Bombyx mori: one gene and its partner. The protein of the gene in region 2 interacts with the protein of the main gene of each other region in a pairwise test. Links are inferred from orthologs where the notes say so. Each region holds a gene or a part of one and is shown on either strand. Other genes may lie near its edges.

Region 1 (3,835 bases), on a different chromosome or scaffold from region 2:
TTAAACGAGCAATTCTTGTGATATATAATCTGAATCTCGGAAATGGCTCCAACGATTTTTATAAAATTTAGCATGCAGGGCAGGATTTCGACGTAAATGCGCCACCCACTTTGAGATATGAGTTTTAAGGTCTTAGTATAGTCACAACGGATGCCCCACCCTTCAAACCGAAACGCATTACTGCTTCACGGTAGAAATAGGCGGGGCGGTGGTACCTACACGCGCGGACTCACACGAGGTCGTACCACCAGTAATGGTGTCTTATTTTTATAATCAATAATAGAATACAGTTGCCTAAGCGAAGCAAGGGCGGGTCGCTAGTCTAGAATATAAGACTGCCCCCCGTGTCCTAGATGCTGCTGACACATGACTGGCATCTTCTATCATGAAATAATAATATGTAGTGGAAGTCTTTTTTGCATTTTTTTTTATTGCTTAGATGGGTGGACGAGCTCACCAGGTGGGGTGTTAAGTAGCCACTGGAGCCCATAGACATCTATAACGTAAATGCGCCACCCACCTTGAGATATAAGTTCTAAGGTCTCAAGTATAGTTACAACAACAGTTATCATTCGGACACGTTATCATAAATAATTATGAATTCTGCAAATTCTAAAACAATGCTCTTTCAATGTTACATACAGAAATAGTTGAAACCTTGCAAATTTTGTTATAGCAGTTAAAATAAAACAAAAAATATATGGCCTGTGACGTAACCACTATTGCAGTACTAGAGAGTCATAGAGATAGATAGATGGCTTAGTATATTTGTAATATTATAGCCAGGTCATTTCAAAAGTAATTTTGATAATTGCCTTCATAAAATGAATCTTTTTTTTTAAATATTTCCACTTATGGGTGCAATCAACCATTGCGAATATTTTTATTGGAGGAAACGGTGGTAAAATATAGCATATTGTCAAACATAACAGAAATTGTCCCTAAATAACATAAACGTTTTTTTTGTTTTTTTTTTTCAATCATTGGATAGGCATAGAGATCATAGACCATACAACCAACTGTACAAACATAGGCTGAGGCTATGTCAGATTATGGAAAAGAAATGGAATTGAATGAGGTGAGATAATACAACATGGTGGATGACGAAGGTGATAAAATGAAACAATTGTTCAAAACAATGGTGGGAATTTACTGAGAGTTCAATGGACTTTTTGAAAGAACCTGAGAATCCATTTCCAACGATTTGGACAGTTAAATTAAAAAAATAAGAATGCGAATGGCAGGCAGTGACTTGGCTCTGCCCCTGGCATTGCTGACATCCACGAGTGACGGTGACAACTTACCATCAGGTGGACCGGATGCTCGTCTGACTACAAAGACAATAAAAAGAGAATATATTGTATGTAAACATGTATATGCTTTTAATTTGTGTTAACTTTGAATTAGCAAAATGGATTAAACAATAGGTTAAAATCAATCTAGGCAAGTGACAAAAAATGTTTCAGTAAAATAATGTTTTTTTTTAAGGTTAACGACCTCAGTGGATTTGCCGGTGGAGTTCGTTCACCTCTACATAAGCAATTGTATTTCGACGTGTGAGACAATACGGGACAGATACATGCAAAACAGGCTCGTACGATTGGTGTGTGTCTTCCTGCAGTCGCTGATAAGGAACAAGATCATCAATGTGAAGGTATTTACTTGGTTATTTAATTTTTATGTTTTGTTGTAAGACTGAGATCTGATGTTAATAAAATTTTTACACTGTGGTGTTAGCCTAAAATAGTACCAGCCCATCTGTCCCTGCAAGGGGTAATTAAAAGGCGACTAAGAGATTTACTAATGGGTAGCATGTTCTCTATATATTGTAATAGCACATAATAAATGTAAGTGATGCAGAAGTATCTTTGTTAGATATTTTATGTTCAAGATCACAGAACTCCTTGTCTTGTCTTGATGAACTCGGGAGAAAGTAATAATCTGAGGTATAACTCTATAACATGCTTACACTCTAGTGTAATCACTTTAAAAAAAGGTGCAAAGAAAATTCATATTGTTATTGTATACCTCATAAAAAAGTATATTATTATACTAGTGTTAAGAATTCTTGTACGTGCTTGTATTTTAAGAGGCTAACCTAAATATTACTACCTAAATATTACTAATATTATTATTATATGATTTTTCAAATGTTTTCCAGGAGCTATTCATAGAAGTGGAAGCGTTCTGCGTTGAGTTCAGCCGGATCCGAGAGGCCGCTGCGCTGTTTCGGCTCCTGAAGCAGCTGGACTCCGGCGAGGCTGCCCACAAGGACCCCAAGGATAACTAGCGACGGCACAAGAGCAGGGTTTACTCGAACACGAATAGGTAGCGCCGGCCTCACGTCTGGGACCCCAGCCAATCGGAGAGCTAACAGCTGACCGCACCGCTGTGACATTGAAACTATAACAGTTCCACCGGTGATTACAATTGTGATGTGGCGTGTTAAACGTTCAATAGTTTTGTGGATTAATTGTGTAATAAGCAATTGGAAACTTGTACACTCTAAGACCTATTTTCTAAATTTGTGAAACTCGTGATATCTCGGGTATAAGACATTAGCCGGCAGCTGTGACAGCTAGTTTTGAACCTAACAACTATTATAGCATCAACGAAATAATGTCCACTCTCACACAAAAAGGTAATGCAGGCTCTATCAGGACCTACGTCTGTGAACATAACCGATACAATGTTTAGTGCGTATAAAGTTATGGTAAATATCGAGTGTCTGTGAAAATTGTGATAGTAATAATAATAAAGTATTGATTGAAATAATCAGATTAGAATACATACATTATCCAGATATGCCGGATAGAACATTTGGAGTGCAGTATTTGAGATATTTAATTTTATAAAGTATTGATTGTGTACTGATCTATGTAAATGGAAATAAATGGAATTGAATACATTTAAATTGATGTGAAATAAACATTGTTTTGCCTTCGTCAGTTAATACTGGGAATATTGTGTAGTTTTAGATTTTGTTACGTTATTTAGTGATGTGTTCATACTATCTTGTTAAGTGTCTCAGACAGCATCGGTTTTGTGTAACATTCTGTGTCTATTGTAAAAGGCGACTATGTGATTCACTAGAGAACGGGCAGTAGTTTGCAGAGTTAAGTCATGAATCATTTGAATGTATTACGTACTGAAGAGCGCATCGATCATTGTACAATTGACATACGGACCTCTTGTCTCAAGGTCGGTGGAGGCATTCAATTTAACGCCCATGTTACAAAAACTTATTCGCCGTTTCGCATTAAAAGTGTACAATATTCAAAAATATTCGAAATTTAGTTAATATGCGTAAACATTTGGTATCACCATTATTTTTCTCGTAAATACTGTCAAAAGAGCGTAGTTTAGTTAAATGTTTTTTTTTTAGTTTACCTATGTTTTGACTACTATTAACATAATTAATATGCACATAATTTTATCTTACTTTAAAATACAGATAATGTAACTGATAAAAAAAATTGTTGCAAATATGATTAATATTAAATATTAAATTAATAATAATATTATGAAAAATATTAAACCTTTAAAACACTCTCCTGTAAAATTAGTAAGTTTTGAGATATACAGTTTTAATGCGAGAAGACGATATTTGTATTATTTTGTTATATTCTCTGCTATACGCATTGACTCGCCGCACTGAATTACAGCAATGTTTACCTACGTTTGCCGCTAGTGGCGCTGTTCCTACTGCATGCAAATGTGAGTTAACTTTTACGCTGTCGAGAACGTTAAGAAACTCGCACTAAGCATATGTTAGCAGGGTGATGCAAGTTTAGTACAAATAACTATGTTTGTAGCAAATAATCCAAAATAAAAG
Region 2 (3,935 bases):
TTACATATACTATACTAGCGACCCGCCCTCGCTACGCTTCAGAAACTGTAATTTACTATTGATTTGTCCACTATTTAATGGATATTATTATACATATAAACCTCCCTCTTCAATCACTCTATTTACTAAGAAAAACCGCATCAAAATTCGTTGCGTAGTTTTAAAGATTTAAGCATAGGTACATAGGGATATAGGGACAGAGAAAGCGACTTTGTTTTATACTATGTAGTGATAATGGAGTACTACTTATTTATTTTTTATTAGTACTGGATTATTTGTCATATTTGAGTACTATATTGTTATTAAAATCAGTAAAATGTAGTAGGTAACCAAGCAAATTAAAGTAACAAATTTTTCATAAAAGTAAATAAGTTACCTGACCTGACCTGATTGTTCACTTTAATATTTAAATAGCTTATCTATCTTGATAATTTTTGTTCAACATAAAGACATGGTCATACAGGAATAAGCATATATATCCACATTTATAACATTTATGAGAGTCCTTGTTCTATATAGCAGTTTTCAAAGTTCAAATACCTGCCTGAGGACAGGCAAAGAAATACAATTTATTTGTTTCCATTCAAACACCACCAATTGAACAACTGGTTTGTCCCTTACCTGTAATATCATAATACCTAAAACCTAATTAATAACATTACATGTTTTTTTTTTTTGCATTTCAGTTAATATTTTAAATGCAGTGGTTTTGTTTTTTTTATTAAATAATTTACTTGTTTACCATTTTGTTATTAGACATGAGGTACAAACATATATTTTACAAAATAAATGTTGGTATTTAACAGAATATCAGAGGCAAATCTATTACTGCAGATACTAAGTCTTCTTATGACAGAGTTCATATTTTAGTAGTAGATATGTATGTAGGTATCTGCTAATCAACATAATAAATAATATTACGATTTCAAGAATCTAACAAACACTCAGTATTTTTAATGGGAAATAAAATAAATAGTAATTGCTTACTTAAAGTGGTGTAAATATTAAATTGATTTCCTTAGTGTTTGCTGTCTTCTTTGTTCAGTATTAAGGACAGTTAAAAAACACATGTCTACCCACAATACAATTTATATACTAGCAGTTATTTTCCTTTGCTGTCAAAACTGTATTTTGCTACTTTATTTTACTGAACAGTGTCCAACACATGTTTCCTAGAATCTTTACACACGGAAGTAAAACAGAGCAACCAAACGGAATGAAAATCACTCAGGCAATGTTGCAATAGCAACATGTCAAAAACATGCTTCACGCAATTTACTACTAGTTTAATTATTATCATTTTACTTATTGCTAGGCTAGTTTGTTGAAACAACCATTGATAAAGACTAGATGTGGGGTAATTTCTAACGTGTTTTTCATGTTGAAATAATCTTGCGTCATTTTTAATAACTATTATATTCTAAGTAGTATGATAATACAAATTTAGCAACTGATTTTTTAAAGAAGTTGTATTGAATCATTAGCACAGATAGCACAACACATTATTAATGACCTTCAAATTTTTTTCTTTTTTCTAACCTTTGTTATAATTAATTAACTTATTTATTATATTACATATTATTACTTATATGAATAATAAAATTGTCATACTTTAAAAAAAGAATAAACATTCAACTTTATTTGGTTAGCTTTTTTTTCAAATATTCTTAAGATAAATTAATAATGAATCATAAACGTAATATGTACAGCAGATTATTGACGTTTAACAAATGAAATGCTGAAGGAAATGAAATGGGTGCCACCTATGACTATAGATTTCCGGACATCATTCCGCGGAGATGCGCCACCAGGCAAACGCTTCAATGTAAATCAAAAGTGTCCACAAGAAACTAACGCAGAGCACTTATTAAAGCGATAACGATCGATAACATATCCAAATAGAACAACCCGACGCTACACACACATACAGGCGAAGAGTTCGTGGCTGCCAATATTCACAATATGGCGACAACAGAAAACAAAGAATGATAAAATATGGTAGTTTTCTTACCTGATTCAATTCTTGACTCGTCTGCTTGAAATTTTTCTTGTTTAAATTTACGACGAGATAATGTATATGCGATAAGCTCAACGTTAAAGAGTCCAGGTTCATAGTTCCATTAATGCAAAAACGAAAGCTTCAAACACGTTTGAAGCTTTCTCGATTTTTTATGATTTTCTACGACGAACTTGTGTTCTTTGGTAGTTTTCTGACGAAATGATAATAAACCTAAGCCCAACATCACCAATTTTATTGTTCACTTTGATAAAAACAACATAATTATTATCACCCCACTCAGCAATTTATAAATTAAATTTCAGTAGTAATCAGCACACGATGACGAAAGAACCAAAGTGGCTGCCTGCTGCTTCGTGCCATGTTCGGAAAATTTTCGTGAACGTCCGCAGCCCAGAGAGTTACCATAGAGCACCGACTAGATAGAGATTGGACGTCTCGCAATAGGTAGAGCAAACACTCTCATCTAGAGTTGCTAGGAATAAAATATTTTTTACCGACAGACTCTATGCAACGCATTTTTTAAATTTCTGTGTAGAGCTATAGATCCAAAATTACCAATTAATAGCTTAGTTAAAACCAGATAACTAGAGAAGTTATAATTCGTATGTATTCCTTAGCATATACGAGTACACAGTTTGACGTTAACCATTGAAACGTTACCTAAAAATGAATTTCGTTGTATCACTTTGAATTGACTAACTCGCTAATAGAGAAGCTAATTTCTTTAATAGGTCATGAGTCCGACACGCACATCGGGCAAACATTCATGTGATGATTAAGTTTGTTTGCTTTTTGTTTATGTGTTATAAATACGACGGTGACTTCATCCGCAATAATTACTCAACTTCGACTAGTGCAGTCAGCGATAGGCTATGCCATTGAGACGGTACTGCTAATACTCTAAGACAGTCCGCTGGACCAGAATCAGAATCTACTAGATCGGGACGTAATTCACCGCAAACTATTTGCTCATTAATATTAACATTACGCCATACGCTTAGTATGACACATAGCATCAATTTCCCCAGTTGCATTGTCATATTATTATTGTCACCGAGAGAGGCCACTTAACAAAATGATCTGACTCTATTTTAAAAACAATGACATGACCCTGCTCCACCTAGATCACTGAAGTATGAAACCTATGGAAATGAAACGTCAACAAAAAATGCGTGCCACTGTGACGTCATCTGGCCGCTAAACAAGGCGGTTTTAGTGCTGCCCTCGTCGCCTGCCCCGCATGGGAGGGGTGTGCACCGTGCTGTCGTCGCAAAAATAGGAAACAATTTGTCGTTGCCGAGTGTATTGGCATCGATGCTCGGCGACGACGAGTCGTGGAAGGCGATGCTCGACTTCTGCGAGTGCACCATCTCGCAGAAGGAGGCGGCGGGGCGCGTGAGAGACGCGCAAGCCCGCCGCCGTCGAGCGGGGGCCAGGGAGGCGGATCTCGCCCAAGCCCTGGCCCTCTAAATGTTTCGGGTCCCCTTCATATGTCGGTCTGGGGACCGGCGAAGGGGGCCTAAGAAGACGACGTGCAAGCTGCTCTGCACGCGTTTTACGCAAAAGCATCCGGGTGATGGAAGGCCGGTTATCCTCGACCCACGCTGGTTCTGACCCAGCGGGGTATTCCGTAGGATAACCCATTCAAACCGGCGCCATCTAGACGGGCTCCGGATAGCCTGCCGACCGAGAGGGCTGGTGGTCGTGGCGCCGACGACCGCTGGTCCGGCGTCCCGAGGGGGAGGGTGATGGGAGAGATGTGCTCCGCACTAAACGCTTCACTTTCCCCCCTTTGCCTTTTCATGGGTTCTGTCTCATGCGAGGTTCGGACGCGGGTTGTTGAGCGACAGGAGGTTTTAGTCAGTTCGACTCCAACATGCCCCGCCTTCCATCCCCAGGGGAGGGCGGAAGTTCG

The links.
Region 1: the proteins of CCR4-NOT transcription complex subunit 1 (region 2) and CCR4-NOT transcription complex subunit 11 interact in binary tests that used the Homo sapiens proteins (3 or more experiments, as listed by UniProt). The link is inferred for Bombyx mori from reciprocal best matches to the Homo sapiens genes CNOT1 and CNOT11.

Annotation. Positions count from the first base shown.
Region 1 is NC_085125.1:1,935,567-1,939,401, reverse strand, and holds part of CCR4-NOT transcription complex subunit 11, read left to right. Parts: intron 1-1,488; coding exon 1,489-1,654; intron 1,655-2,161; coding exon 2,162-2,290; 3' UTR 2,291-3,835. UniProt on the Homo sapiens protein: Component of the CCR4-NOT complex which is one of the major cellular mRNA deadenylases and is linked to various cellular processes including bulk mRNA degradation, miRNA-mediated repression, translational repression during translational initiation and general transcription regulation.
Region 2 is NC_085107.1:17,975,738-17,979,672, forward strand, and holds the start of CCR4-NOT transcription complex subunit 1, read right to left. Parts: upstream 2,672-3,935; 5' UTR 2,114-2,671; coding exon 2,012-2,113; intron 1,905-2,011; exon of another isoform or gene 1,764-1,904; intron 1,099-1,763; exon of another isoform or gene 988-1,098; intron 1-987.